Mus musculus: one gene and its partners. The protein of the gene in region 5 interacts with the protein of the main gene of each other region in a pairwise test. Links are inferred from orthologs where the notes say so. Each region holds a gene or a part of one and is shown on either strand. Other genes may lie near its edges. The genes, in order: Mfsd5, Itm2b, Kcnk1, Ptpn9, Creb3, Tspan2 and Apod.

What was found.
Region 1: the proteins of Creb3 (region 5) and Mfsd5 interact in a two-hybrid assay, tested with the Homo sapiens proteins (2 studies listed by BioGRID and IntAct). The two-hybrid records come from large-scale screens. The link is inferred for Mus musculus from reciprocal best matches to the Homo sapiens genes CREB3 and SLC61A1.
Region 2: the proteins of Creb3 (region 5) and Itm2b interact in a two-hybrid assay, tested with the Homo sapiens proteins (2 studies listed by BioGRID and IntAct). The two-hybrid records come from large-scale screens. The link is inferred for Mus musculus from reciprocal best matches to the Homo sapiens genes CREB3 and ITM2B.
Region 3: the proteins of Creb3 (region 5) and Kcnk1 interact in a two-hybrid assay, tested with the Homo sapiens proteins (2 studies listed by BioGRID and IntAct). The two-hybrid records come from large-scale screens. The link is inferred for Mus musculus from reciprocal best matches to the Homo sapiens genes CREB3 and KCNK1.
Region 4: the proteins of Creb3 (region 5) and Ptpn9 interact in a two-hybrid assay, tested with the Homo sapiens proteins (2 studies listed by BioGRID and IntAct). The two-hybrid records come from large-scale screens. The link is inferred for Mus musculus from reciprocal best matches to the Homo sapiens genes CREB3 and PTPN9.
Region 6: the proteins of Creb3 (region 5) and Tspan2 interact in a two-hybrid assay, tested with the Homo sapiens proteins (2 studies listed by BioGRID and IntAct). The two-hybrid records come from large-scale screens. The link is inferred for Mus musculus from reciprocal best matches to the Homo sapiens genes CREB3 and TSPAN2.
Region 7: the proteins of Creb3 (region 5) and Apod interact in binary tests that used the Homo sapiens proteins (3 or more experiments, as listed by UniProt). The two-hybrid records come from large-scale screens. The link is inferred for Mus musculus from reciprocal best matches to the Homo sapiens genes CREB3 and APOD.

The regions. Positions count from the first base shown.
Region 1 is NC_000081.6:102,278,147-102,282,244, reverse strand, and holds Mfsd5 (molybdate-anion transporter precursor), read right to left. Parts: upstream 2,790-4,098; 5' UTR 2,616-2,789; intron 2,069-2,615; 5' UTR 2,051-2,068; coding exon 698-2,050; 3' UTR 501-697; downstream 1-500. UniProt on the Homo sapiens protein: Mediates high-affinity intracellular uptake of the rare oligo-element molybdenum.
Region 2 is NC_000080.6:73,361,726-73,365,007, forward strand, and holds the end of Itm2b (integral membrane protein 2B precursor), read right to left. Parts: intron 2,968-3,282; coding exon 2,817-2,967; intron 1,419-2,816; coding exon 1,333-1,418; 3' UTR 501-1,332; downstream 1-500. UniProt on the Homo sapiens protein: Plays a regulatory role in the processing of the amyloid-beta A4 precursor protein (APP) and acts as an inhibitor of the amyloid-beta peptide aggregation and fibrils deposition. Plays a role in the induction of neurite outgrowth.
Region 3 is NC_000074.6:125,993,615-125,997,901, reverse strand, and holds the start of Kcnk1 (potassium channel subfamily K member 1), read right to left. Parts: upstream 2,801-4,287; 5' UTR 2,443-2,800; coding exon 2,088-2,442; intron 1-2,087. UniProt on the Homo sapiens protein: Ion channel that contributes to passive transmembrane potassium transport and to the regulation of the resting membrane potential in brain astrocytes, but also in kidney and in other tissues.
Region 4 is NC_000075.6:57,018,968-57,022,467, forward strand, and holds part of Ptpn9 (tyrosine-protein phosphatase non-receptor type 9), read left to right. Parts: intron 1-936; coding exon 937-1,080; intron 1,081-3,240; coding exon 3,241-3,330; intron 3,331-3,500. UniProt on the Homo sapiens protein: Protein-tyrosine phosphatase that could participate in the transfer of hydrophobic ligands or in functions of the Golgi apparatus.
Region 5 is NC_000070.6:43,561,509-43,565,457, reverse strand, and holds the start of Creb3 (cyclic AMP-responsive element-binding protein 3), read right to left. Parts: upstream 2,801-3,949; 5' UTR 2,646-2,800; coding exon 2,499-2,645; intron 2,409-2,498; coding exon 2,252-2,408; intron 2,178-2,251; coding exon 2,107-2,177; intron 1,990-2,106; coding exon 1,900-1,989; intron 198-1,899; coding exon 91-197; intron 1-90. UniProt on the Homo sapiens protein: Endoplasmic reticulum (ER)-bound sequence-specific transcription factor that directly binds DNA and activates transcription. Plays a role in the unfolded protein response (UPR), promoting cell survival versus ER stress-induced apoptotic cell death.
Region 6 is NC_000069.6:102,733,402-102,737,569, reverse strand, and holds the start of Tspan2 (tetraspanin-2), read right to left. Parts: upstream 2,801-4,168; 5' UTR 2,574-2,800; coding exon 2,505-2,573; intron 2,356-2,504; exon of another isoform or gene 2,312-2,355; coding exon of another isoform or gene 2,255-2,311; exon of another isoform or gene 2,153-2,254; intron 1-2,152. UniProt on the Homo sapiens protein: May play a role in signalling in oligodendrocytes in the early stages of their terminal differentiation into myelin-forming glia and may also function in stabilizing the mature sheath.
Region 7 is NC_000082.6:31,312,009-31,315,979, forward strand, and holds the start of Apod (apolipoprotein D precursor), read right to left. Parts: upstream 2,801-3,971; 5' UTR 2,544-2,800; intron 2,461-2,543; 5' UTR 2,391-2,460; intron 1-2,390. UniProt on the Homo sapiens protein: APOD occurs in the macromolecular complex with lecithin-cholesterol acyltransferase. It is probably involved in the transport and binding of bilin. Appears to be able to transport a variety of ligands in a number of different contexts.

The DNA of each region.
Region 1 (4,098 bases), on a different chromosome or scaffold from region 5:
CTTATTCCTACAGGAAAGGCTTTTGTTTACCGTCATGGGGTAGTCACCAAAGCAGCCCAGAACACTGGAATCTTTGTTCAAGGGCTGAGTATATTGGGCACTGGATACATGCTTTAAGATCATTTTCCCTTTTTGAGGTAGAGAGAAGGCTCAGTGGCTAAAAGCACTTACTGCATAATCATGAGGACCAGAGATCAGATCTCAACATGTGTAATGAGTGTCCTGACTCTAAGCCCAACTTCAAGAGTCCATCTTTCCCCTGCATGTGAACTGAGGATTTTGCTTGCAAACTGGAGAGGGTACCTGTCCTAGCCAAGAGTAAGGACTTAGGAGCCTCTGAATCTTTCCACCCAGTTCTGTTGACAGGCATTTCACAGCCCTCAGTTTAGCTGGAGACATTTGACTTGAAGACATCAGAACCCCACCTGTACCTCAAAAATCTCCAGTTGCCCCCTCACCAGCAACTGAGGTGGGTACAGGAGAGGACAAGTGAGTCACATCCATTAGAAGTGTTTATTTTTACACAGCAAGGAGAAGGGAGTACACTGTCAGCTTTTGGCACCTTTCCAGTCTGTCACCCCCATGTCCTTCCCAATACAGAGCACTGGCAAGAGGGGCTGCAGGACAGAGTCACAAAGCAAGTCATGGGTAGGTGGGTGTGTTCCAGAGCCCATCTCAGACCCCTTGTCCTGGAGGATCAAAGTTCAGGGGCGTAGGGCTCCCCGGTGGGTGAGGGCACCCGCAACTCAGCGTCGTGTCTCACCACGGTGAAGAGTCCTGCCACTGCCAGCAGAGTCGTCACCATGACGGCAGAGCAGATGCTAAACATATTCCTGGTGCCTGTTTTCCGATCGCTGTCGTGGAGGACAAGGAGCCCTAGACAGGCCAGCAAATGCAGGGGCACTCGGAACCAATTGAGAACCCCGGCCTGCTCTGTCTCGGGGATCACTTTCCTTCGCAGGAAGCTCATACTGGGAAAGTAGAGCCCGCAGGCCAACTCAATAAGTAAAAAGGCAATGAAGGACTCCACAGGATTTTCTTGGCCTGGGCTGGTGGAGAAAGTCAACATGAAGAGAGAGAAGACGACAATGAGGACAGCAAGGGAAAGCAGGTGCATGGGCTGAAGGTGGTACCTCTTGGAGGTAGCGATGCGGTACAGCGAAGAACCCAGAAGGCTGGCAGCCATGAAGCTGGAGAACACAATGCCCAGTGGGGCTCCGTGTGGGTCTAGCACAGGTGTCCAGAGGAAGACAAAGATAAAGATGACACTCTCAAACAGCGCTTGTATGACACCCAACAGCAACACCCGGCGGTCAGACAGCAGGCAGCGCAGGCCTCCAGCACAGGTCTTGGAGAAGGCACGCTGACGGTCATAATTCTCTCCCCAGTTTCGTAGAGCCAAGGCCCCAGTCAGAGCCAGAAGAGGGATGGCAGCCACAAAGGGTGCGACCGGCCCCAGCCCTATCCAACTAGCCACGGCCTCCGCTGCCACACCAGCCGCCACAGCCAGCACGTGGTTCCAGAAGGCGGCTCGGGCAAAGGTGGCTGGGATCCACTCGGCGGGGAAGTCATGCCTCTCCACGTGCTCGTGGATGTACCAGGCCTCAAAGGCTGAGAAGAGGAGAGCTGTGGACAGCCCACCGAGTGCTCGGCCCACCAGCAGCACGAAGTAGTCCTGAGAGAGCTTGGTTATGCAACATAGAGAGTAAGTGAGGGAGAAGAGGACACAAGACTTCTTACGACCCAGCCAGTCCACAAGGGAGGAGGCCACTAGGCCAAAGAGGACCGTGGAGGCAAGGCCACAGACGTAGAGGATAGCAATCTGACCCTCCAGGAAGTGGTAATGCTGATAGAGTTTATACAGGTAGGGAGCTTGGAGCCAGTCCGCTGCCAGGGCCAGAAAGTAGACTTGATAGAAGTCTAGTTGAAACTGAAGGAAGGAGGGGTTGCTGCAAGCTCTTCCAGGGGGCCTGGCTCTGCATCTTGACAGCTCCAGACCCAGGCAGGAGGCCAGGAGGCCCACAAAAGACAAATAGGCAGTCACCAGCATGATGGGCCCCCGGACGACCTGGGGAGAGAACGATGGCCACAGTCACATCCATAATCCAGGTAGCACAGTCGAGGAGTTAGGTGTCTAAGCAGAGGGCAACTCCACCCAACTGCACTGTCAATTTCTCTCCCCCAGAGCTGAGACTGGAGGGACCAGTTGGGTGGGTGGGAGGAGTGGCTGTCTCCTAGGACTCAGTGGGGCGGGGGAGGGTGACAGTGGGGAGAGGCCAGAGCACTCGCTCCACCCTTGCCTGGTACAGCAAAGGGGACTCCTTTCAGTAATCTCGGTCCCTCAAGTTCAAAAGGGGCTACTGCCCATCTCCATGATAGGTTCTGCAGGCTTCTTGTACCTCCCATCCTCGCTGATAAGCCAGTTTTGGAGCTCAGTGTCTCCACATCTATTCCCGAGCATCCCTTCCGCCCGGGCCGGCCTCTCCAATGCTTCGCGGTCACGCGCGCGCACCGCAGGTTCCCCGGCTATGGGTCACGGCTGACCCTCCTTGCGCCCCCTAGCCTCAGCCGAGCGTCCCCTCATCCGCTCGCACCTCGCCCGGCCCCCATCTCACCTGCTGCCCCGGTCTGCCGGGACGCTCCGGACACGTCCGGCTCCAGGCCGCCGGGCCGCCCTCCCCGCACTGGCTCCGGCTCCGCTCGGGTTCCAGCAGCGCGCCCGCCCCTCACAGCCTGCTTCCGGGAGCCGGGCTGGCTCGTGGCCGCCGCCATGATAGCCCCGTCACGTGACGGGGCGCGGCAGGAAGCCACTCCCCCTCGTGGCGCCCCGCCCAGGAGCGGAAGAGCCTATGGGGCCCGGGATGCTGGAGCGGTGCGCTGTTCTCTTGGGCGCCTGAGCAGGCGGGTACCATAGGGTCCTCCAGCTGGCCAATATCCGCGGGGTCGTCCGGAATGAAAGTGTATTTTCTGTTTTCCTCCAGGAGGAGAAGGAAAGGTGCCGGCAGTCCCTCAGAGCCAGCGGATACCACGTGCTAATGAACTCCGCTGCCCTAAATTGAGCTGCCCTAGGGTTTGGACCTCCCCTGACCTCCCGGCCAGCAGTCAGTATTGTCCAGACACCTGAGGGAGGCGGTGTGGTGTAAAGCCGGAGTCCGGCTGCGGAAGCAGTGACAAAAACTTAAGCCCTGGAGCTGGACTCCCACCTCCTGCTACCTAGGATCTGCTTTTTCTTGGAATGTTAAGTTTCAGTATTCAATATTATGTCCTGGAGACCCCTGCAATGGCTTCCCTTTTCACTAAGGATAGAATCCAACATCTTTCAAAAGACATGCAAATGCATCTGTCCGGGACTTTTTGCTATGTCCATGACTTTATCTGCTACCACGCGGCCTCCTGTCTACACCGGCTCCCACCTGGGCCTTTGCACACTGCTTCCTGCAGAGTTCCCCCCCAAGATAGTTACCTTCTTTACCGCCAGAAGTCATGTTATTATTAGAGAGGACCTCTTTCTTTCTTTCTTCCTTTTTTTTTGGGGGGGGGGGGTTCAAGACAGGGTATTTCTGTATAGCCCTGGCTGTCCTGGAACTCACTTTGTAGACCAGGCTGGCCTCAAACTCAGAAATCCACCTGCCTCTGCCTCCCAAGTGCTGGGATTAAAAGCATGCGCCGCTGCCACCGCCTGGCCAGGACTTCCCTTTCTTTCATGGTGTGGTGGCTCATGTAGTCCTTGCGCTTGGAAAGCAAATAAATAAATAAATAAATAAATAAATAAATAAATAAATAAATAAATAAATCCTAGCGAAAATGCTCCATGATTAACAGGTTAAGAGCACTTGCTGTTCTTGCAGAGGAGAGGCAGAGGGGTGGAAGATCACTTGTTACTGCTTTTGAAGAGTAATATGCAGAGTAGTTTTCACAATTGCTTGTAGCTCCAGCTCCACCAGGGGAGCTGACTGACCTCTTCTGACTTCTGAGACCTGCATGAAACTAGTGAGAGTATAGTCACTTAGGCACACACTCATGCACATAAAATAAACTTTTAAATAAAGTAAATCTTTAATAAATTAAAAAAAAAAAAAAAAGCAGGGCTGGAGAGGT
Region 2 (3,282 bases), on a different chromosome or scaffold from region 5:
AGACCAGCAATAAGCACCCGTGACTTCTGAGCCATTGCTCCAGACCTACTCTCAGGTGTTTTCCAGGCAGTGGATTCTGAATTCTCTCAGCTAAGAAGCAACCTCAGGTGTGGTTGCTATGATAGTGATCTTAACACCCTGGAAGCTGAGGCAGAGAATCATCACGAGTTTGAGACTGGCCTGATTTCCAAGTCAGCCTAGTTTCCAGACTGAGACCCAGTTTCAAAAACTGAAACAGCAACAAAAATCCCATCTCTAGCTTGCCAGGTTCTGTGGGACATGTCTATCTCCCTGCTGGAGAGGCTGGTCCCTAGAGACTACCAGTTACAACAGCACAGTGAGATGAGTCTGAAGAAAAACCAGAACAGACTGAGAACCACCACTTAGATCCACATCTTAGCTTCAATGCTAACCATCCACTGAATGACAAGGCCCACTTCCTGTCAAGCAGCGTTGGTCAAGTTTGCCCTCGGTGTCACTGAAACAGCATCCACAAGAAATCTGATTTAGTAATTAATGGCTTATTTTATTTTTTTAAAAAGCTGATTTTTATAACTGCATGTAGAGAACTAGACTTTATAAAATAGTTTCATTTTTTATGTATGTGGATTACCTTAAAGTATGAAGAACCAAATTACTTCTTTGGTTTTATCCTATGGGAAAAACAACGCACAGTCTCATCACATGGCTTTGTGATATTTATATTCCATTCCACAGATATGGGCTATACAAATTAGTAACATGAGTTGCTTCTTAAATTCCAAACATTTGTCTAAAATCTTATTACAGCAGAGGCCTAGGATATTAAAACATCAAGGCTGAAATCCTCTAAAGTAGTTAAAGCAACATTGAAGATACGGCACATTTTAATTAAAGTAGTATGAGAAGGTGACTTCAAATGCTAACAGACTAGGTAGCAGGGCTAGCATCTACAAGCAAGTCACTGTGGTCCCTTTAACATATGCGAATGACTATTCTTTAGGCATCTTTCCCTCATGGAAGTGCAGAATTAACACAAAAATCCAGATTAGTGATTTCCAAGCAATTTAGATTCTTCCTAGTAGGTAAGCTCTAAGGAGAAGCGAATCTTATCTAGGAACCTGCACATTTGCTAATTCAAACATCAAAGACACCACACTTAGAAAAAAGAAAGGTTTTGTTTTCTTTTTTTAAGATAATGGTTTTTAATTGAGTTATTGAGATGAAGAGACAGTGAAGCCCTGTTTGCTACTTACATGAAAAGAAGATTTTAAAAAACAATCACTGCACAAAATACAAAGGGGCAGGGTATGCTGTGGCATTGAATTCCTCCCCACGTTTTTTCTTGACTTCTCAAGAACAAATTAAAGTCTCCACAGCAAATTTGTTCTCAAAATGCCGAATGGTGAAACAGTTACTGGCTTCCCGCTTCTGAATACCTGTTGGGAAAGGAAAGGGGGCTGGTTTTGGTTTTGTTTTAAGTTGTTTAGTAACAAATACTCACAGTTACTCTTTAGACATAGAGAAGCATGCCACTACTCTATATCCATCCCATAATTTGAAATTTGTGCTCCACTGGGCCTTTCCATATATCCTAGCAACTGGTAACAGTGCTTTACAAACGGCTTACAGACAGATGTGCTGCCTAGTCAACTTGATACACAAACTAGAGTCATCTGCAAGGAAGGAACCTTAATTCAGAAAATGCCTTCATAAGATTCACCTGTAGAGCATCTTCTTAATTAGTGATTGGTGTGGGAGGGCCCAGCCTATTGTGGGTGGTGCCATCCCTGGGCTGGTGGTCCTGGGTTCTATAAGAAAGCAGGCTGAGCAAGCCATGGGGACAGTAAACAGCACTCCTTCATGGTCCCTGCACCTGCTCCTGCCTCCAGGTTCCTGCTTTGTTTGAGTTCCTGTCCTGACCTCCTTTGGTGATGAACAGCAATGTGGAAGTATAAGCTGAATAAACCCTTTCCTCTCCAACTTGCTTTTTTTTGGCCATGGTGTTTTGTTGCAGCCACAGAAACCCTAAGACACAGATGCATGAGCTCCAAGGTTTGGGAGGTATTCTAGTTACATACGGTGGAGTCACATGCCCGTGTGTGCTTGCAGAACTGCACACCGGGAGAGACAAACTTCGTTCTATCAAATTGGTTTTAGAAAATTATGAGGCAAGATCGTGACTTAAATGTAAGAAATCAAGTGGTAGGTTTCAGATGACTCAGCAGCCTGAGGTGAGAACAATGTCACTACAAGTATTGGCAAAGACCAGAAAAGAAGCACTTCTGCTGGGTGACACAATCCCACACAAGCCAGGCTGTGGCGTCACCGACGGATGGCACTGGACGATGTGTAAGGTCACACACACTTCTGCGTTGCATTTATAGTGGGCACATGCTGCTATTCTTACTGCTCAGGGGGAAAACAAGATTTAGTGACAGCAGAGCTGCCGAGGTCATGTCAGGGCTCCAGACTCCTCACCTACAGGTCTTCCTAAGTCACCTGGCTGTGACTAGCCTCAGCACGATCCACAGGTGACGGGACCTGTGAGAACTCAGATTCCCTAAGAGTCCAAGCGTGAGGCTGAAAGACCTCCTCTCTCCTGTGGCCCAGCCACAGTGAGGATGAAAAGTCAAACCTGACTCTTCTACATGCAAACTGAGGGGTGGGTGTGCGTCCCAAAGCAATGGCATTTCCTGCTGACTGATGGTTTCTATCTGAAGAGAGAGGGTTTGGGATTTCCATGATTCTAAATCTTGGAAAAACTAACCAAGCATGACACAGGGTCCCTTTACATTGTCACCCAAGCGTCATGGGAATTCTCTGACTCTCCTTACCTCTAATTGTTTCCCGGCGCTGCAGTTTGTAGGTCTCCTTGTCGTGACACAGTCGGTAGATGAAGAAGCCCAGGTTGTCCACGTTCTCGATGCGGTCGGTGATCACCATGTGCTCATGGATAAGGTAGGACTGAGGCAGGTAGGTCCCGGCCTGTGGGAGAAAAGATGTGACATGGAGCTTTCTCAGTGTGCACTGAGCGAAAGGCAGACAAAACTCTTCGGTGTGCTTTTAAAACAGGATTTATGGATATTTAACTGGCTGCTTTTATAAATGTAGTCTTGGTTTTGGAATTGGAATCTCGCTTTGTCGCTCAAGCTGGTCTTCAGTTCCCAGACTTAGCCGATTGTTTCTCCTCAGCCTCCCAGGAATGACGCTTGGCATGGGTCACCGTGCCTAGCGATACGGATGGTGACAGCCAGGCCCAACTCAGGGGCACTGGAATGAAGTAGCTGGTTAATAGTTATT
Region 3 (4,287 bases), on a different chromosome or scaffold from region 5:
GATGCAGGCCATCTGAGGTCTTCTCTTGCAGTGAACAGTTTCTTAAGTGGTGAAACCCACCAGCTCCAATCTTAGCACCATCTGCATCTCTGCCACAAAACCATTTTGGAAACCAGAGGTGCTATCAAATGTGTCCGATGATGGCATCAGCTCAAAACTGAGAGAGGAGGGGCTTTGACTCACAGCACTCTGTTCACTACACCCACCGTCTCACCGATCAGCTGGTTTTATACACGGAGAGTCTCCTCCTTTGTCTGGCTTATCCCTAAGTGCCCCTTGCTCTCCTTTCTTAAATAAACCCTTGTTCCAATACCACAGTACAGACTTTCTTCCTCAGAAGGACAATGCAATAGGAATACCAACACGACACCCCACTCCTCCCCTCATACATCAGACACCCCACTCCCCTCTCGAGGATATTTCAGGAGTTGTGGTGATTCCTAACATTAGGGGCTGAGCTCACATTAAACAAAGATTCCCCAGAAGAAATGGGATCTGAACTAGCTTTTGATGCATAGGATACCAGGATTATACAAGAACTTCAGCACTGCCCACAAACGCCACCTAGGAAAAGCATGCTTTCTCTCCTGGCTCTTCCTATCCCTGCCCTGTCTGCCAGGCCCGCAGGGTAAGGGCAGTCTTCATTCTCAAACTGCTCAGCCAACGTTGTGAGCCAGTTGTGAACTTTATGTAAACATTCATGTCTATGGTGGAGGAGGGATTTACACTCTGACACAAATAGGATCCAAAAAGACCTGACTGGCCTGGGTGATGTTGAGATAAAGCCGGGACTGTGAGCAGCAGGGGGGGGAGGAGACTTTTCTTTGGAAAGTGAGCCAACAGGTTTGTCTTGTTTCGGCATCCATTTAACACAGTTTTTTTTTTTTTAAAAAATACCGCAACACAGCCTAGAACTCTTTCTGTGTCGATTACAAGTTCAGGAACTCACCCCAGATTTCCAAACAATAAATTTACCTGATCTGGCTGGAGGTTGGGTGTTTACAATAGTGGGTAATTAATAAAATAATTTACCCGGCCGCAGCCCAAAGGAAGTTGAGAAGGGTCAGCCTGAGAGGCAGAGAGGAGGGAGAAGGAACGGCTGGAGTAACCCAGGTGCAGTTGAGTCACTTGCAAAGGTGGGGCAGGGGCATAACACACTGTTCCTGGCAAGAACTCACAAGGCTCGGATTCCAGAGTGTCCCTGGGCACTGTGTGACCTTGTGCCTGCCAAAAGGGGCCATTTCAAAAATTGGATCTCATGCATAAGAAGAAGGCACGGTACTGAGGCCCTTTGAGAGTCCCTCTGGCTGTCCGTGCACCGTTTATGTCCTTCCTAGCCTGCACGCATGGCTAGCCACCACTGACGAAACCTGGCCTCTCTCCATCTAGTCTAACTGCTATGCCCCTGGGCATGTATGTTCAGCTGGATTTCTAAGCCTCTTGAAGACGTTGAAGCCTCAAAGTAGAAGAGAAGCTCAACGCACCTAAAGTTGAAGTAACCGCTGATTCAGGAAGCCCCACCATGTGGGGCCCAGGTCAAGTGACTCCCTTCCCTTCTCCCACCCTTCCTCCTACTCTGAAACCCCCATAGGCCTGCCTGCTTAGAGGTCACCTGCAGAGAGCAGAGTGATGTCACCACTGTCCCCAAAACAGATCCAAAGAAGCTGTAATAGGTCTACAGTAGGGAAGGGAGTCACAGTCATGAAGGTGACCCATCCAAGGGTCATTGCTAGGTTTCTCGGCCTGGGGTCTCTGGGATGGGGCCAGAAGGAGGCGAACGCTCTTAAGCACAGGATACTCTCCTCATCTCCTGGTCTTGCTGCTCAGTTGCCAGGACAGAAATGTCGGGGACCTACCCTCCCATCAGCTCCTACCTGCTCCTCACAAGGACGGAGAAGTGAATGAGACCCCTGCAGCCTCAAGGTCCAGAGTGTTTGAGACCATTCCCAAAGAGTAACAGCTGCAGTACCCATATCGTGCTCCGGGGTCACCTCACTGGCTGCCGCCACTGCGAGCCACCGCAGGATGCGCCCAGCGGAGGCCTGGGGACGCCGGGGTTTGGGGTAAGGTGGCAGCAGCGGCCCTACCTGTGGTGGAGAGCACGGTGCTGGCGAAGAAGAGCGCCGAGGTGAAGTCCCAATTCCAATTTCCCGAGGCGTTGCTGAGCACCGACACTCCATAATTGCTGGCCTCCAGCACGCGGCCCAGGAACTGCTCCAGCTGCGGCTCCGACAGGCACTCGTGCTCCTCCAGGAAGCGCCGCTTCAGCTTGCGCAGCTCCTGGCGCAGCAGGTCCTCATAAGGCAGCTCCACGGACGAGAAGACCACGGCGCCGAACACCAGGTAGAGCAGGTAGCCCAGCACCAGGAAGCCGAAGCACCAGGCCGAACGGTGCCGCTCCACCAGGCGCACGCACGAGCTGCCGGCCAGGGACTGCAGCATCTTCCCGGCGCCCGCGCTCCGCGCCTCCCGCCGCCGCTCCCTTTCCTGGTTTCGTGCAAATACAAGAGGCCAGATGATGTGGCGGTGACGTGGTGGCCGGCTCAGGTAGCGGGAGTTGGTCGGGCGGAGCGCTCTCACCCACTTGGCGGGAGCTGCTGGCTGCCCGCGCCCCCTACCTGGCTTCCGAAACCGGAAAGTGCAGGTTTGGTGGCGCCAGACCCTGGCCAGGCCACCCGGAGGCTGCCTGGCTCCCTCTTCCCTTCCCCAGTGCAGTCAGCAGGCCTGAGCTGAGAGAGAGAGAGAGAGAGAGAGAGAGAGAGAGAGTGTGCGCGCGCGCGCGCGCGCCACCGTAACCCCCGTCCTAGCTACTTTTGTCCCCCCAGGCATTCCTCCTGATTAAAGCTACTATAGCCAAATACCAAGGGTACAGATAGATCCTGTCTTCCTCTGTCTTGTTGACTGGACAGCTAAGCCATTTGCTGCCCAGACTATTGAAAATACAATGAACCTCTTTCTAAAAAGCTACTTGAATCCTCTCCTGACCCCATCCTCCACCTGGAACAGGAAAACACAGCTTCTGGATTTTAGCCTAAACAATACCCCAAACTTTAAGGACTTCGTGGTCAGGAGACAGAAATGGAAATGTGCGCTAGGGCACGGAGGAACTGATGGTGGATGAGGTTGGGTTCTACATTTCTGCATAGACATGTGCAGCCGTGTGCTTCTAGAGTCTAGCTGTGTGCTTCTAGGGGTGGGGGTGGAGGACCTGACTCTGTGACACTTCCTAGAGAAGGATGACAGTCACATACATAAGACTCAGCATAGCTGTATCCTGTCTTATATATCGTGCCATACATCATACCTATTGTCTTAGGTTTTTATTGCTGTGAAGAGACGCCATGACCACAGCCGTTCTCATAAAGGAAAATATTTACCTGGGTCTGGTTTACGGTTTTAGAGGTTTAGTCTATAATTATCATGACTGGGAACATGGTGGCACACAGGCAGACATGATACTGGAGAAAGAGCGGAGTGTTCTACATCTGGATTGGCAAACAGGAGAGAGAGAGAGAGAGAGAGAGAGAGAGAGAGAAAGAATAAAACTGGGTCAGCGTGAGCATTTAAAACCTCAAAGCTCAATCCCCTGCGACACACTTCCTCCAACAAGGCTACACCTCCTAATAGCGCCACTCCCTATGAGCCTGTGGGGGCCATTTTCATTCAAACCACCACTCCACACACAGAGGTGTATTTTTGTCATTACATGCACATGGAGTCAAGAGTCAGGGACATTCTAAAGGCTCCTAACTAGGGGAATGGGAGCAGGAAAGATGACGTAGTGGTAAAGTACTTGGGTACCCAGACTTGTGGTCAGACACTCAGGACTCGAATTAAAAAAAAAAATGTTGAAGCATCATCATCATCATCATAGCATTATCATTATTATCAATGTCTCCAATGAACTCCGGGAATGGACTCCGGTTGCCGGGACCGTGGTTAGCACCTGGACTGCTGAACCGTTCCCCAGCCAAGATGACATCTGATCTTTAAAGATGAATTTGAAGACTATGCAGACGTAAGCACAGCTGTCTGGAATCTCAAATATGCGAACCGTTTATGCTGTACCCTGTAACAGAACTGTGTCTGCAAAGCAGGCTAACATGTAGAAGTAGAACTGCCTCCAGCAGCTGTTTGTGGGGAAGTAGAGGAGAGAGGTAGCTTCAATTTCTTATATTAAAAAAAAATACTCCTCATCTATGGTAGATGATATCAGTAAGAGAAAGCATTAAAGTAAATCCGAATTAATCTAAATACTTGGAAAATTCCATCATCTGCCTACTGAAC
Region 4 (3,500 bases), on a different chromosome or scaffold from region 5:
AAGAAAAGTTTCAAAATAGTTAGAACAGAATAGCAATGCAGAGATCTTTTAGGTACTCAGAATATACATGCATAATATCTCAATTTAAATAATTCTAAAATGAAAAAAAATAGATATTTTGGCTGAAGTCGGGTCCTAGCAGAGTTCTCTAATCCCACCTCCTAGGAGGGGTTTCTCATTACTCCTTCATGCATGCCAATGCTGTGTCCTCTCTCTGAACTGGCTGTACTTTTTATCCTAAGCAGTAAAGACTAAGACTATATAAATGTAACCTTTATGATAGTTTATATAAGTGGCACTATTAGGAGGTGCAGCCTTGTTGGAGTAGGGGTGTCACTGTAGGCGTGGGCTTTAAGACTCTTGTCCTAGCTGCCTGGAAGCTGGTCTTCTTCTAGCAGTTTTCAGATGAAGACGCAGAACTCTCAGCTCTACCTGTACTCTTCCTGTCTGGACGCTGCCATGCTTCCACCTTGATGATCATGGACTGAATCTCTTAACCTGTAAACTAGCCCCAAATAAATGTTCTCCCTGTAAGAGTTGCCTTGGTCATGGTGTCTATTCACAGCAGTAAAACCTAAGACAATGTTTTTAAATTAAAATTTAAAATTACTTTTATTTATTTATTTGTCGGTGTGCATACATACAATTCCATGGCACGTGGGGTTCAGAGGACAGTTTGCAGGGTCCGCCATATGGGACCTGGCAATTGAGCTAGAGGCAAGTGCCTTTTCCTGTTGAGTCGTCTTTCTAGCTCCCCTTCTTCCTCCTACTTTTTTTTAGATGGAATTTCATATAGACCAGACTGGCCTAAAACTTGATATGTAAAAGAGTCTCATTTGGGGAAAAAAATAATAATTTTTGCCTGCTTGTTCCTGTTATGTTTCTAAAATATATTCTCTTTTTACTAACTGTCCTCATTTTTTTTTATTTAAACAGGCTACCAAGCAGTTTCTTGAAGAGATCAACAAGTGGACAGTACAGTATAATGTTTCTCCACTCTCCTGGAATGTGGCTGTCAAGTTCCTCATGGCCAGAAAGTTTGATGTGCTCCGTGCTGTAGAGTTGTTCCACTGCTACAGAGTGAGTGGCTCAGGGCCAGCTAAGTATTTCTATTTTTTTCCTGCTTTACGTTGTACATGGTGATTTTCTACTTCTCTCTTATTCTGTTAAAGTGGGTCAATGTCCACCAATCCTATGAGAGCTGAGGTTGGGCTCCTGGAGACACTTGCTTAATGTGCACAAAGCTTGCTTGCAGACCAGCCTGCTACCTGTGAGAACTGAGGCGAAGAATGTTCCTTAATGTCATCCTGTGGCCACTCCTGGGGTTTTCCTCCTTGCTCTCTTCCCTGCCTCCTGGATAACCTGTTTGGTATATTTTATAGCTGTACTTTAAGGCCTCATGAAGTTGTAGAAAGCTGCCATTCTGATGAACTTTGAGCTAAAGAGCTATTCAAGAAAAGATTGGTGCTAGTGTCAGCTAGGTCCCATTCTTGGCAGTGTCTTTTTGGTATTTGTTTTGTTTTGTTTTGTTTTGTTTTGTTTTGTTGAGACAGGTGTCTTTGTGTAGCTAGCCTCTGCCTTGTGAGTGCTGGGATTAAAGATGTGAGCCACCATTGCCCAGCTACAATTTTTTTTTTAATTAAAAAAAATTTTTTTTAAGAATATTTATTTTATGTGAGTATACTTGCTGTCTTCACACCAGAAGAGGGTGTCAGATCCCATTACAGATGGTTGTGAGCCACCATGTGGTTGCTGGGAATTGAACTCAGGACCTCTAGAAGAACGGTCATTGCTCTTAACCACAGAGCCACCTCTCCAGCCCTTGTTTTGTTTTTTTGAGACAGGGTTCTCCATGTAGCCTTGACTGACTGTCCCAGAACTTGCTCTGTAGACCACGCTGCCTCTGCCTCACAAGTGCTAAAATTAAGGGCATAATCTACCATAGCTGGCTAAGATTTTTTTTTTAAGGAAGTTTAAGACTGATTCTGTGTTATGTCTGCTTTCTGGGATTGTAGCATCTTTGATTGAAATGCTGTATGTTATGTTACTTTGTGGTTAGAAATTTCTTCTGAAGAGATACCATCTATCCTTAAAAAGAAAAAGAAATCCTAGGAAAACAAACAAGCACTGGGATTAGCTCACACTTATCGTACGGCTCATCCAGTACTCACTTATTTATTCCATAGATATTAATGGAATACATACTATGTTAACCATGCCGCAGTTGTTACTTAGGAGAGAGAGTAAACAATAAAAAAAAAAAAGGATACTAGCCTTAAATCTGAAGGATGAGTAGGGATCAAGCACTGGTGAAGTATGGCTAAAGAAGATAATATGTGGGCTGGAGAGATGGCTCAGCTATTAAAGGCTAGGTTTATAACCAAAAGATAGAAGAAAACAATAGTTCAGATCCTCAATGGTAGAAAGTAAAATTTAGCTAAGCCAGAATGTTGAGTGGGAGTCAAGGCATGGCAAGAGATGGAGAGCACAGATAAATGAGGCCAGATCATTAAGGCCTGAGAAATCCATTAATGATATAAGCAATGTGATAAATTTTTCCATATTTGCATTCCAGAAAGATTTTGACAATATATTTTTGGATAGTGTATCTCACTGATTACCTTGGAGCCAAAAAGATCAGTTTAAAGACTGTTGTACTTAACAAGGAGAGAGAATGGCAGTATTATTAAACATGTAATGTCAGGGGAGATGGAGAAAAGTAGACAAATTTAGAGTTCAAATGAGTAGGAGCTGCTTAAGCTGGTGTGTGAGGAAAATGAGTGAGGCATCTGAGTTGGGACTTGTATGTCAAGATCAGTGCTGGTAACATTAATTAATTTAGGAGACATTGAAGTGGGGTGGGTTCATGTAGAAAGAAGGTCATGGGTTTAATTTGTCCATGTCTTTGGGATACCCAAATAGACAGTTCCTGTAAGCAACTGGAACCTGAGTGCTGGTACAGAAAAGAAATCTGCACTGGGAATCGGTATTTCTGAATAGCCAAACTCGAGCTGACTCTTGGAGGCATCAGAACAGATGGTTGGTCCTGAGAAGGTGGCTGTAGACAGGAATTATGGTAACGGTTAGCTGCCCTGGAATGCTAAGGCATGCTACAAAGGAATTCACAGTTCAGTTAGTTGATTTCTAATGTCCCATCCCTGAGATTTGATGGCTACATAAAATTGTTCTGGATATGTCATATTTTCATATTAATTCATGTCTTCATTGTTTCCTTTTTAGGAAACAAGAAGAAAGGAAGGCATTGTGAAGCTGAAACCTCATGAGGAGCCTCTCCGTTCTGAGATCCTCAGTGGGAAGTTTACTATCTTGGTAAGTCTGTGGAACCCATCTTGTGCTTTGTTACATCCTTTTGTGGCTGTTGCCTTATTTGGATTTTTGTGCCTAGGTTCCTTATCAATACATTTTGCTAAAATTGTTCTAATAATAATTGAGTTATTACTAATTAAAAGTATTAATAATAGTTGAATTATTGAGTTATG
Region 5 (3,949 bases):
AACATGGATGTGAGGACACGTGGATTTCAAAATATTGTGTCTCCTCCCTTCAAGACCCTCCAGGCTTCCCCCGTGTCCATCCTTGCTTACCTGCTCTCCAGCCCCACGACATACACCTTCTTCTTCTTGCGGCTTTCTTGAGCTGCTCTCTTGTTACGAATCTTCCTCCGCACTCGTTTCAGAACTTGTTCCTCCACCTAAGAGAAGATGGGGGAAAGGTCACCCACAGTATGTTATTATATGCCTGTATGTTATACCTATATATACTACATAGGTATGTTGGAAGACAGCTAACCTTCTTCCCAATCAAATACTCTCCACAGCCTCTCTGTCAGTAGGCATTTACCTTCTGTGTGAACACCAAGGAGCAGATATTCAACACTAGAAAGCCAGACTTTTTATTATTTTTTATGTGTTTGGGTGTTTTGCCTGCATGTCTGTATAACGTATATGTATAATGGGTGTGCCTAGTGCCCACATAGGCTAGAAGAGGGTGTCAGATCTCCTCGGATTGTAAGCTGCCATGTGGGAGCTGGGACTTGAACTCATGCCCCATGGAAAAGCAGAAAGTACTCTAAACCACGGAATCATCTTTCCAGTCTCTAATTAATTTTAAAAATTCCACTTAAGCTAGGTGTGGTTGTACATGCCTGTAGTATCAGCACTTGGGAGGCAGAAGAAGGAAGTCAGGATTTCAAGACCATCCTTGGCTAGGGTAGTTTTTGAGGACAGACTGAGCTACATAAGACCATGTCTCAAAACTAACAACAACAACATCTACCCTTATCCTAAAGCAACATCAATCTTCTTATAATTTCCATTCATTTGATTTTCCTAGAGTCTCTAAAGTGATATAGAATATATCCTTATCTTAAGGTACTTTCAACTTTTTTTCTTTCAGAAACTAAAACTGAATAAAGTTAACTCTTACATTCTCTGATAATGCCTGTCAAACTTGGACACTAGCCAAGAGTGACATCATACACTTGTAATCTAGTCCGAGGGAGTTAGAAGCAGGAGAATCAGGAATTCAAAGGCATTCTTTCCCTACTACATAGTTTGAGGCCAGCCCAGCCTGGGTTTACAAGACCCTGCCTTAACAACAAGGGCCAGAGGGCGTGGCTCAGCAGTGAGCATTGATGAACATTCATGAGGTACTGTACTCCAATCCCAGTGGGTAGGGGAATTATGGCATGCTCTGGCCAGTGTAAAGGAAGACAAGACAGTTACTATCCTAGGGACAGAACCACTATTGATAATTTCCAAGTTCCGTTTCCTTTCCTCCCAATATATTGCTCATTCATCTTGTAATAGTGATAGAGGGATAGGGGATGGTTTCTCACATAGCCCAAGCTTGCCTGAACTCAACATGAAGCTAAGTCTGTCCGTTAATGCTGATCCACCTGCCCCAAATAAGTAAATATCTACATATCAGAAGTAAGACAATATTAAAAAGGCAAATGACATTAAAAAAATTTGCCACAAAAACTAGATGCAGTATTCTTGTAATCCCAGCACGTGGGAAGTGACTTTGAACTTGTGAAGACCTTCCTGCTCCTGCCTCCAGAGTGCTAGGGTTATAGAGGGGTGCACCATCATGTCCAGCTTTGACGATTGTTGATGTTGTTAGACTGAGTCAGCCTCTCAAGCATTTCTACCACTGAGTATGATTCGAGGTCCCAAGATAACAACGGAAGCTATCAAGGCCCTTCACTTTCAAGGCTCTGTACTAAAGTTACATTTAAAACATTATCTTTTGACGTGGGTGTGTGTTTGGAGATGAGAGAACTTGTAGGAGTTGGTTTGTCCTTTTGCAAGTGATTGATATGAAACAAACTGAGCTTGCCTACTTGGGTTACCAACCCCCTCCAGCCTTTGCTCTACCAACAGGAGCCTTACCTTAGTGAGAGGAAGGGTTGAGGGCAGAGTGAGCCCCTCCTTCTCCAAGAGCTTCTTCTCTTCCTCGGTCAGTATCAGCCTAGACATCTCCTAAGGATGGAGGAAATAGTGAAGAGAGCAGAGTTGCATGGAGCTCTCAGAGCAGTATGGGGGATCTTGGCTGCTGCAAAGTGAGGTAATCCTGAAAAAAAAAATCAAGTCCAGCACCTGTTCCGCTGCTCTTTCCTCCCCTGGCAGTGGAGTCACGTGGAACCCCTCCTTTTCGAAGCTCTCAGTATCTGCAAAAGGGAAAGTAGAACCAGCTAGCCCAGTGAGCTCTCTCCTCCCCCACAACTTATCATTTCACACTCACCTAGATCTATGGAGACGTGCTCCTGTGGAAGGGAGTAGTTGTGATCATGGAGAATGGAAGAGCTGGAAGAGCCGAGAACATCCCGCGATACTGAGGGACTGAGCAGAGAGCTCAGTAAATCCTCTACCTCCCAGTCGCTCAGTTCTTGCACGGAGTTCTATCAAATTCAAAGGCCTTGATTTATTTCCGTACCTTGGGTCTCGCGGACATCCCTAGCTTCCCCCACTGGGAACACCCACCCACCCACCTCGGAAGGTGACAGCTCTAAGTCCAGCGGAGCCTTCACGTCCGGCTCAGTCGCAGCCCACAAATCTCCGCTTTCCTCTAGCAGGAAGCCCAGCAGGTCCTGATCACCGGGATCCAAAGCTAGCAGATCCTGACCACCAGGATCCATTTGGGATATCTATGGATAGAAATCCCTCCGCGCAGATCCAACCTCCGAACCTCAGGCACGACCCCTCAGTCTGTCCAGTCGGCTCGACTTAACCTCCGTCACTCCGGGACAAGGGCCTAGCTGTCACTCTAAACCGCACCCGTCTCTCAGCTTCTGTATTCCTCAGCTTCCAACACAACGGAAGTGGTGCACATAGCCCCGTGGAATCCTGGGACTTGGAGTTCTCTCCAACTCGGAAGTGGCTCCTGGGCTGCGCCACGTCCCGGGGGCTATGCAAATTATGGGGACGTCCTTTCAAGCTTCCCACGCCCCAGGGCGGGGATTCTGAGGATCCTTGTCCGCCTTCGCCTCGAGCTATTAAAAAAAAAAACTTAAGCGTTTAAAAGGGAACTCCAGCTTAGTTCGGGCGTTCTCTCCAGAGCTCTGCACGCTCGCTTCCTGCTGGGGAGGGGCGGCCAGGCTTCGCGGGCGCCCGAGCATCGAGAACTACGGCCAGAGCAGCTTCCTGCAGTCTCCGCTACCATAGAGCGCGGGCCCAGGGCGCCGCCGGCGGGTGGGGGACGTTTCCAGGACGGAAGTGGCCGAGAGTGTGTCGAAGGGAGGGCGAGGCCGGAGCCCCAAAAGCGACCGGGAGAAGGAGCGGGTAGCGGGCCCAGGGCGGGGCGCAGAGCCGGGCAGCGCAGGTAGGCCGGACGGGCTGGGCCGAGCTTCTAGGTGGGGCTGCGGGATCGGGCCAGCCCGGGAAGCGGCGGGCGGGGCCCCCAATCCTCCTGCATATCCTGTGTCTGGTTAGGGAGGTCAGGGTCCAGTATGTTTCGGTTTGGATTTGGAATTAAGCTGGCCTTGTTGCGAGAAGCAGGCCCTTTCGCGGGGGTAGACAGTTCTCTGTCTCGGCTAGGTTTGGGGACGGGTAGAAATGGGGTGGCAGTGAGGCACTGGGTGGCAGTGAGGCACTGGGCGGGGATGGGCTTTGGTATTAGCCGATAGTGAGTAAGTGGTTAGGAAAACTTGGGGTGAGTTTGGGTTAGGTGCCGTCGCGTTTAGGAAGCAAGGATCCCTTTAGAAGTTAAGAAGGTGAACTACATTCTAAACATTTGCTGCACGAGTCAAGTCTGTTTCGCATATGTGACATTTAAACTGAGGTCATTATTTTCTGCAATGACCAGCATTAAGTCAGAGTACAGGATCGGGTTAAGGATCAACAGGAATTGGCTTAGATGCCCGTTTTAGGGATTAAAGGCCGGTGTCATGGTCAGTATTAAGAATAAACAGTGAAAAGGTTAATTAAGAACCAAGTTACAAAT
Region 6 (4,168 bases), on a different chromosome or scaffold from region 5:
GAAAGACAGATACTAGTTACTGAACACTTCCTGTATGCCAGACAGTTAATAACAAGAATAACAAATAACTTCAAGCCCCTACTATATAAGGCTGGCTTAGGATACATCACACACGTCCTCAGCACAACTCTGTCCATCTAATTGAACAGATGGGAAGGCAATCCTGGAGGGAAAGCACGCTGGCTCTGGCATGGAGGGAGAGCACACTGACTCTGGCATGGAGGGAGAGCACACTGACTCTGGCAAGCCCCCTCATCTAAGCACACCATGCTTTGGATCTCTGCCCTCAGACCCCCCCTGGCTTTGCCTCTCGGATGGCTCACAATCCTTTGCTCTGCTCCTCATCTGGTGGCTTCCCTCTGCCCACCTCCGTTCTCCCAGGTTGAGCTCCGATATCTCTCAGATGAAGTTGTTTAGGGTCCTCGCTGGTACTGGGATTGCTTTTCTGAACTCTGTACTTAGATCACATATAGAAAAGGCCATCTCCAATCTCAGTGACAGGCACTCAGACTTCACTGGAGTGCTACTTCATCCCTGCGCTTGTGACCCGGGTGTGAAGCTTGTCACTTGGTCACCCTGCCTTACTTTGTTTTTGTTGTTCTCTGTGGGCTGTTCTCTTAGCTGTAGTAGCAGCTTTGGGAACAGCATCTATCTAGTAGTTGTTTGATGGTGATTCTGAAACATGCCCGTGGGTTCAGATTACCTGGATGCCTTCTAGAATAGCTTGCTGGGCTCCTCCCCAACACTGTCTGATTCAGCGAGCCGGGCTGAGTGAAAATATATGTTTCTGAAAATTCCCCAGGGAGCCCTGATGCTGTTGACCCAGGAGCCACATTCTGAGGACAGCTGGGTGACTGAACCTCCCACAGGATGAAGATGGAGGAGGCAGCCTTTGAGTCCTGTCTCTGCCACTCAACAGCTGTGGGACCTATCTGATCCCCCACGTCTTCGTCTATGAAGATGGGGATGCCCTGCTTGCACATGCGCACTGTCCCTAACCCACTGCAAAGGTTTGATAAGTCTGGAGAAGCTGGCACAAAATAAGCACTAAACCCAGCCTGAGAGACTTCCCTCCCTGGCTCACACAAAGTATGTTGTAAGCAGTGAGAGTAACGGGTGTCACTGCAACATGGCACCTATAATTAACAGCCTTCGAAATTAAGCCAGACTTATAAACAAACAAACAAACAAACAAACAAACAAACAATACAGCACAAGGGCGCTCAGAAAGTCTTCTTCCTGGAGTGTGATGGGTGTAAAAGCCAAGTTGTACAAAGTCTATATGTATTTTTAAAATACAGGGGATGTCCCCAGGTACTGCCTCCAGACTGTCCATTGCTAGCCAGTGTTGGTCATGGCCACGCAGTCTCTGAAGAGCTTAGAGTTGCTGGAGTCACCCAGGCTTCAGGGCTGATGGGTTGGTAGTCACAAGTGAGGCCCATCGTTCAATAATTTATTACTTATCGTCCATCCAGCCTCCTCAGAGCAGATGGGACAACCATCGCGGCCAGTCCAGTGGTTTCAAAGCATCCCAAAGCATCTCTGCTCCTGCAGTTACCCACATCCCCTGAAGCGAGACTCGTGTCTTCCCTCAGGGTCTATCTGAGCAGCTACACTGGCTGGCATTCTGTTACTGGAAGGCCAATAGGGACTGTGCAGAATGGGCCTCTGACCGTTTTCCAGGGCTCGGGAGAGAGTATTCCAGGGATGGTACACCTCTAACTATGCCCTGCTAACACAGTAGACTGGGGCCATGGCACTCTCTCTGGCTGTCTCTATGCATCTCTACCCAGGGAATGCTGCCAGGTCTACACCACCCTGCAAAGTTGAATGAGATCATTTCAAGAGTACTGGTTGTACGCAGGGACCCTAGGGGGATGTTGCTGCTCTTCCAAAATCCCTCCATTTTCCAACCCCTCGTAAAAGAGCACCCACCACTGCCCACCCAGAAGACCCCCCCCCCCGCCAATGCCCAAGAAAAGGACGATCTTCCCCACTCTTTCAATTTTCTCTACTGTCCGTTATTTTCCCAACAAACCACCAGAGCCAGGCGGCGTGTCCGCACACTCTTGGTTGGGGCGCCACCCCAGGCAGCCCTACGGTAGGGATTTCCCTCCCAGAGCCTTGGCCCGGCCGCCGGGTTCCCCAGAGAAGGCAGCGCGAGAAGTGGGTGTGTGTACACAGCAGGATGCAGGGAGCACGGGCCGCCAGGCCCCCAGCCCTCGGAATATTGGGGCCCGCTAGATCCCCGCACCTGGCGCCACCCGCCGGGCGATGCCGCCGAAGATGATGGCTTCTTTCGGGGGAGCATCGCACCGTGTCTCCTCTTCTCATCACCTCTGGTAGCTCAAGCTTCTCTATGTCCTATCCCCCTCCATATGTCCCCTCCCTCTTTGTCTGCTTAGCGCCTCTGAACATCCTGCCCTCTCCTATGGCCCAACTCTATTGCGGTCACCTCCCCGGGGACCCTGGCCCCCTAACCGGCCCGCCGGTTCGGGTCTCACCCAGAACAGCAGGTTGAAGCCGAGCAGCAGATACTTGATGCACCGCAGGCCCCCGCGAAAACGCCCCATGCTGCGACCCCGGCGGCGGGCTCCCGATTCCCCAGGCCCGCGCCGAGCCCCGGGAGCGGCGGGCGCCGGTGGAGGGGCGGGGCGGGTTGGGAGGGGCGTGACCTGTGGGCGTGGTCTGCGGGCGGGGATTTGGTCGCGAGCGGCCAGCTGGCTGTGGCTGGGGCGCCCTGGGGTGGAGATCCCGGTCCCACGCACCCGCTCCGGCCCTTGGAGGTAGCACCACCTTCGTCCACGCTGGTGGGCTTGGGCTCCTGTAGCTATCCGAGCATATGTGCGCCCACCCGGAACGCGGGGTCCATTTAATCAGTGCCGGGTGCCCAGACTCCCTTGAGGCCCTCGATGATGGTTGAAGTTATCCTGCGTGTCTATGGAAACCTAGGGAGGTGACTTCAGATGGTAAAGCTAATAGGATCGGTGAAGCCGGTAGAGACTCTGTGGTGAGGCGCCAGGCAGAGTGTCCAGGGCTGCAGTTAAGCAGAGTCCTGCAAGCGCCCAGGCCGCGGGCGGAGGCCGCTGCTGGGGACCCTCCCTCCTGCCGCTGCGTTCCTAGAGGACTGTTACCTTAATAGGCAAGAACTGGGAGTAGGCGCGCCAGGCGGAGGCCCTGGGCCCTGACACTGCTTCCCACCCTGCCCAGTCCAGCCCACCAGATCAGGGAAAGGGAGTCAGACCTCTCACTCACATCCTGCTAGGTTTGATAGATCGGGGGCCTTGAAAGAAGTCCAGATTCTTAGGGTCTAGACTGAGATGTGTAGATCAGGGAAAGGGAGCGAGTTCTGTTTTGCTTTGTTTTTATTAAGCTAGGCGACTGGTGAAGAATCGGGCATTCACTTCAGTTGACTAAGTGTCTACAATATGTGGTGTCAGACGGCACGGGGGAGACAGGAAAGTGTAAAATCAGGGAGCTTGTGCATTAATTTAGCAACACTCTAAGTGCCAATTATAGGCCAGGCATAGTAGCAAGCCCTGGGGACACCAGAAGAATGCCAGGCTTGCTATCACATCTTTACTGGAGGGCACAGATCTGTAAGCAAATTTTTGGAACAAGGTGAGGTGGGTGGGCTAGGAGCTGGGCAAGAGACTGCTTCTGCCTTGACTAAGGAAGGCTTTTCAAGAAGACTGGACCTGATCCTAATTTGTAAAATAGGTGTCAGTAGCTGGGCAGTGGTTGTTCACGCCTTTAATCCCAGCTCTTGGGAGGCAGAGGCAGGCAGATTTCTGAGTTTGAGGCCAGCCTGGTCTACAGAGTGAGTTCCAGGATAGCCAGGGCTATACAGAGAAACCCTGTCTCAAAAAACCAAAACCAAACAAACAAAAAGGTGCCAGTAGAGAGAGCAGGGGGTCAGGGGAGGAAGCAGAGGAAGTACAACCTAGCCTGGGAGCAGGAGTCAGAGAGATGGCCAAGGTGAGGGGAGTCAGGAGCTCACCAGAACAAATCACAGAGGGCAGGCACTTGACTAATGTGACACATTACCCCATTATCTTGGGGCCTCTCTTTCCCATCTCAGTATGGAGATTGTACAACCTGCTTCAAAAGAGTTGTGAAGATTAAGGAGTTAATATATGTACAGTGAGATCAGTGAGGCACATGAGAT
Region 7 (3,971 bases), on a different chromosome or scaffold from region 5:
TGACACCGAGCTCAGTAAATATTAGATTTTTGTTTGTTTGTTTATTTTGTCTCACCATTAGTCCTGGCTAGACAACATGCTTTGTAGACTGAAGTGGTCTTGAACTCACAGCGATCTTCCTGTCTCTGCCTCCCGTGTGCTGGGAATTAAAGACACATGCTACCTTGCCCAGCTAAACATTAGCATTGCTATTTTGAAAAGCAGAATCAGGATTGCATTTCCCAAATGTTTTCCCCGTTTGCTGAGGGTGCTTTGCATAGAGGATGTGCATTTAACTGGAGAAGAGCGGTCAGCTGATGTGTAGGTCCAACTTTATTTCCATACACAAGTCCTCTGGTGGCCACAACCCTGGGGAGGGGAGTGGACAGGGGAGTGAGATGGCGGTCAGTCAGTTCAGGCTATGGATGGAGACCTTGGGCTCCTCTCTGCCTTTCTCCCTGACTTGCCTTCCCTCTGTTCCCCTTTTGTGCCTCCTTGCCTCTCACCGCACATGAGCTATTTCCAGCTCGCTGCCTTTCTGCCTGTGATGACTGAGTCAATGCAAGCAAAGTGTTCTCAGATCTGAGCATTTCAAAGGATGTGTCATAACAGGAACAATTATAACCACTTTATTATGAGTCTCTGAACCTCCAAATAACTTTAATAATCAATAGCCTTTTCTTCCTGAAGGTTTTGTTGCCTGGTTTTCAACAAGAACAGTTATGTAAGGAGCGAGAGCTGCCAGCTGGGGCGGGTTGGGGAGGGGGTGGCTGCTGAAGTTCTCTGGAGCAAATCTGTGGTGGGACCACCATCTTTAGTCCTAGAGGCCTCCTTCCTTCCATCATCATATAAACAACACCTGTCTTTTGACATTTTGGAAGGTGGAGTGTTTGTAGAAGCTTCGCCTAAACTCATAAAAACTTTGCACCCATTTTCAAGGGCTCTTGGAATCTCTGTAGCTCTACCCAACAGGCCTAAGCCAATAGCCTTTCCCACACACTGAACTTTAAAGGGTGGGTGGCATAGAGTATATGCATTCTACTGCATTTCAGAAATGGGCAGGACCATAAAGGTCATCTATTCAGCTCTCCCTCAAGCTCCTGCCAGGTGTGCAGATGGAGAAACTGAGGCCTGGAAGGGAACTGGACTATGACAGGGCCAGCTGTCCACCCAGAGCCTCTCTGCCATGTTCCCACCTGCATCCATCTTGGTGCCTTTCAGAAAATGCCTGCCTGTGAGACCTGGTGAGCTCTGTCTCACCATGCACCAGCGACAACCAGTCAGCCCATGTCTAACTCCGACAAACGTCTCATTACAAGATGTTCTCATGTGAGCTGAAGCACACCCTTGGGCTCTGTGGGAGGATTCAGAACAAGGCTAACTCCCCTTGCCTGCATGGCTTCCAGAGACACCGTCTGGATGCTTTGAGTTTTCTTCCTATAGCTGAAAGTCCTTCAGAGGGGAGCATGTTTTCCATGTTCTGTCCAATTGGATTCACTTAACACTCACTGACAGAACATGCTATTGATGTATATGTACAACTCTGAGAAAAAGATAGGTGCTTTAGGACATATCATTTCCTATCTTCTAATATCATAGGAAGATCATCGAGGTGAATTTACTTTTCAAAAAATAAGCTTAACTATAATTTTAACTAACTACCAAATAACTTAAAGGTAATTCTTCCAAAACTGGTGCATCCTGGACCAGGCACTACCTGAATTGCAGGCACACTGAGGGTCAAGCACACTGGGCTTCTCCTTGGGAAGTGCTGGTCTGAGTACCTATTGTGTGCACTGCATCGGAGCTCACATCTGGAAGCCACCTGTGCTGAAATTGACCCTGTTCTCTGTTAAGGTCTCCAAGAGCACGTGTGTCACTTTAGCTACAGTCCCTAAGCTCAAGAATATTAAGCAGATGTCCCATGGCAAAGCAAAATGTTTGCATGGGTGAATAGATTTTAAAAGCAAACAAATACATGTAGCCTTTGAATGAACAGGAACCATATCCTTTTAATTTCTTTCTTTTTTTCTACATGGTCCTCTGTCCTCAAGCCTGCTATCTAGTTCAGGCTGTCCTACAGTGGGGATCTCTGCTTCTCCAGTGCCAGGGTTAAAGGATTACACCACTAGGCTAAGCCAAACACGTATGCTAAACAAAACCGTTTTGTGTCCAGCTGTTCAGTACTCTAATCACACAAATAATTCCAGTTTTTGGTTGATCTTACTGCCAGGTGCAGTTGAGTCACACTAGAAAACTCATCTGGTGCTGTCTTGCCACACAGGCAATGTTCTCATGGTCTCCTTTTGATAGGGGGGAGGGGTGTGGAGCAGAAGCAGCCATCAGGGCAAGCATAGGCTTAGCCACCCCCTCCACCTAATCACCTGAAAACGGGTTCCAATAACACTTACCTTAGAAGTCTGAGGAAAATGAGATGGAGCCTGTAAAAGCCTTCAGTTGGTGCTCACTGTCAGTTTCTAACTGAAATGAAGACAGTGGGAATCAGGGTGGTCTCTGCTTTACCCATCGGTTACCCCAAGTGCAAGCTCCAACTATGAACGTACCTCTCAGATCAGATGACTGAAGTTTCCACCCAGAATCCTCCAAGTGAGGTGTGTGGCTTCTCCCAAGTCACTTTATAGGCTCCCATCAGGCCCTTGCCCTTTGATAGTCAGGCATGCCACACCCACCACAGCTTGGGGGAAACTGGCCTCAAAGCTGAGCTCTGTGTGGGGCACAAAGATGGGATGCTGTGTCTGTCCCCTCACTTAGTTTCCTTCACAGCTGCTCCCTGAGGAAGAAACAATGAGATATTGTTTGTGCATGAGAGAGAGAGAGCGAGAGCGAGAGAGAAAGACGAAGTTGCATTTTTGTTCAAAACATCTTTTATTTTTTTTCACTTTGTGGATTTTCCACTTAATTTTTTTTTTTTTCCTCTCAGAATGCTCTTGTAAGTTCCAGCAAGAAGGGCTGTACCATGCTTCCAAACATCTGGTATTTATTTTTTTTCATTTTTGTGTAAATGAAAAACCAACAGTTTCATTTCCCCGAGGTGGAACAGGAACACTGCACCCCATGTAGTCCTGGCCAGGAATGTGAGGATCAGAATTATGAGATGCAGGGCGGGCCCCTGCTTCAGTGAGCTTCAGTTTCCCCATTGTGAAGACAGACGTTGTGGTCTTCACTAGAAAGGGACATAGCAGTTCTCTACCATGTGGAGTCAAAATCTATTGCATCCGAGCATCTTCTGCAGCTCTTCTCTTTACACCCTTTGCAACATCCCCATCTCTCTTGCACGGCTTGGAGCTGGAAAATGGGGTATACATTTGCCATGGGGACTTTTGGCTCAGTCACATTAGGGCATACCACAGACCTCCCAGATGACTACAGACTTGGAAACCCAATGGGTAGACAATAGTTTTTAATAGTTCCCCTGCAGTGTGGACTGCCAAATGAATGAGCTGAAGAGGCGTGCTGTGCATCCCAGTGTAAACTATAGAGCTTGGCTGCTATTTAAACTCATCCTCAGAGCTTCAGCCTCAGGGATGCCCGTAGATGGAGCTTTGGAGGCTGCCTCAGAGCTATGGAGGCTGCCACAGATCAGCCTCTGGTTCTACCGTTCAGAGCTGATAGGGCGGCTGCAGGCTCCATTAAGGGCCTTCCTTCCCAGCATATCTACAATTTTATAATAATTTTCAGCCAAATGGTGCTAGGGACAAATCTTACTGTAGATGTTGGGGGTGAACAGTAGAAGAAGAAAGAGCTCAGAGGACTGGACAAACCCACTGGGTCCTACACGCCGTTCAGACCACCAAAGACCCCAGAGATGAGGCACTTAGTGGTTTCTGTGTTGATACAGCCAGGCGAGGCGTGTCTAAGGGTCATTACTGTTCACATCCGGGGACTGAATCTTGGATGTTAAGGAGTGAAGCTCTTGAGGCCTCTCACCTTTAGTGTCTGAGAAGGGCACAGGGCTGTGAACCAAGGCAAGA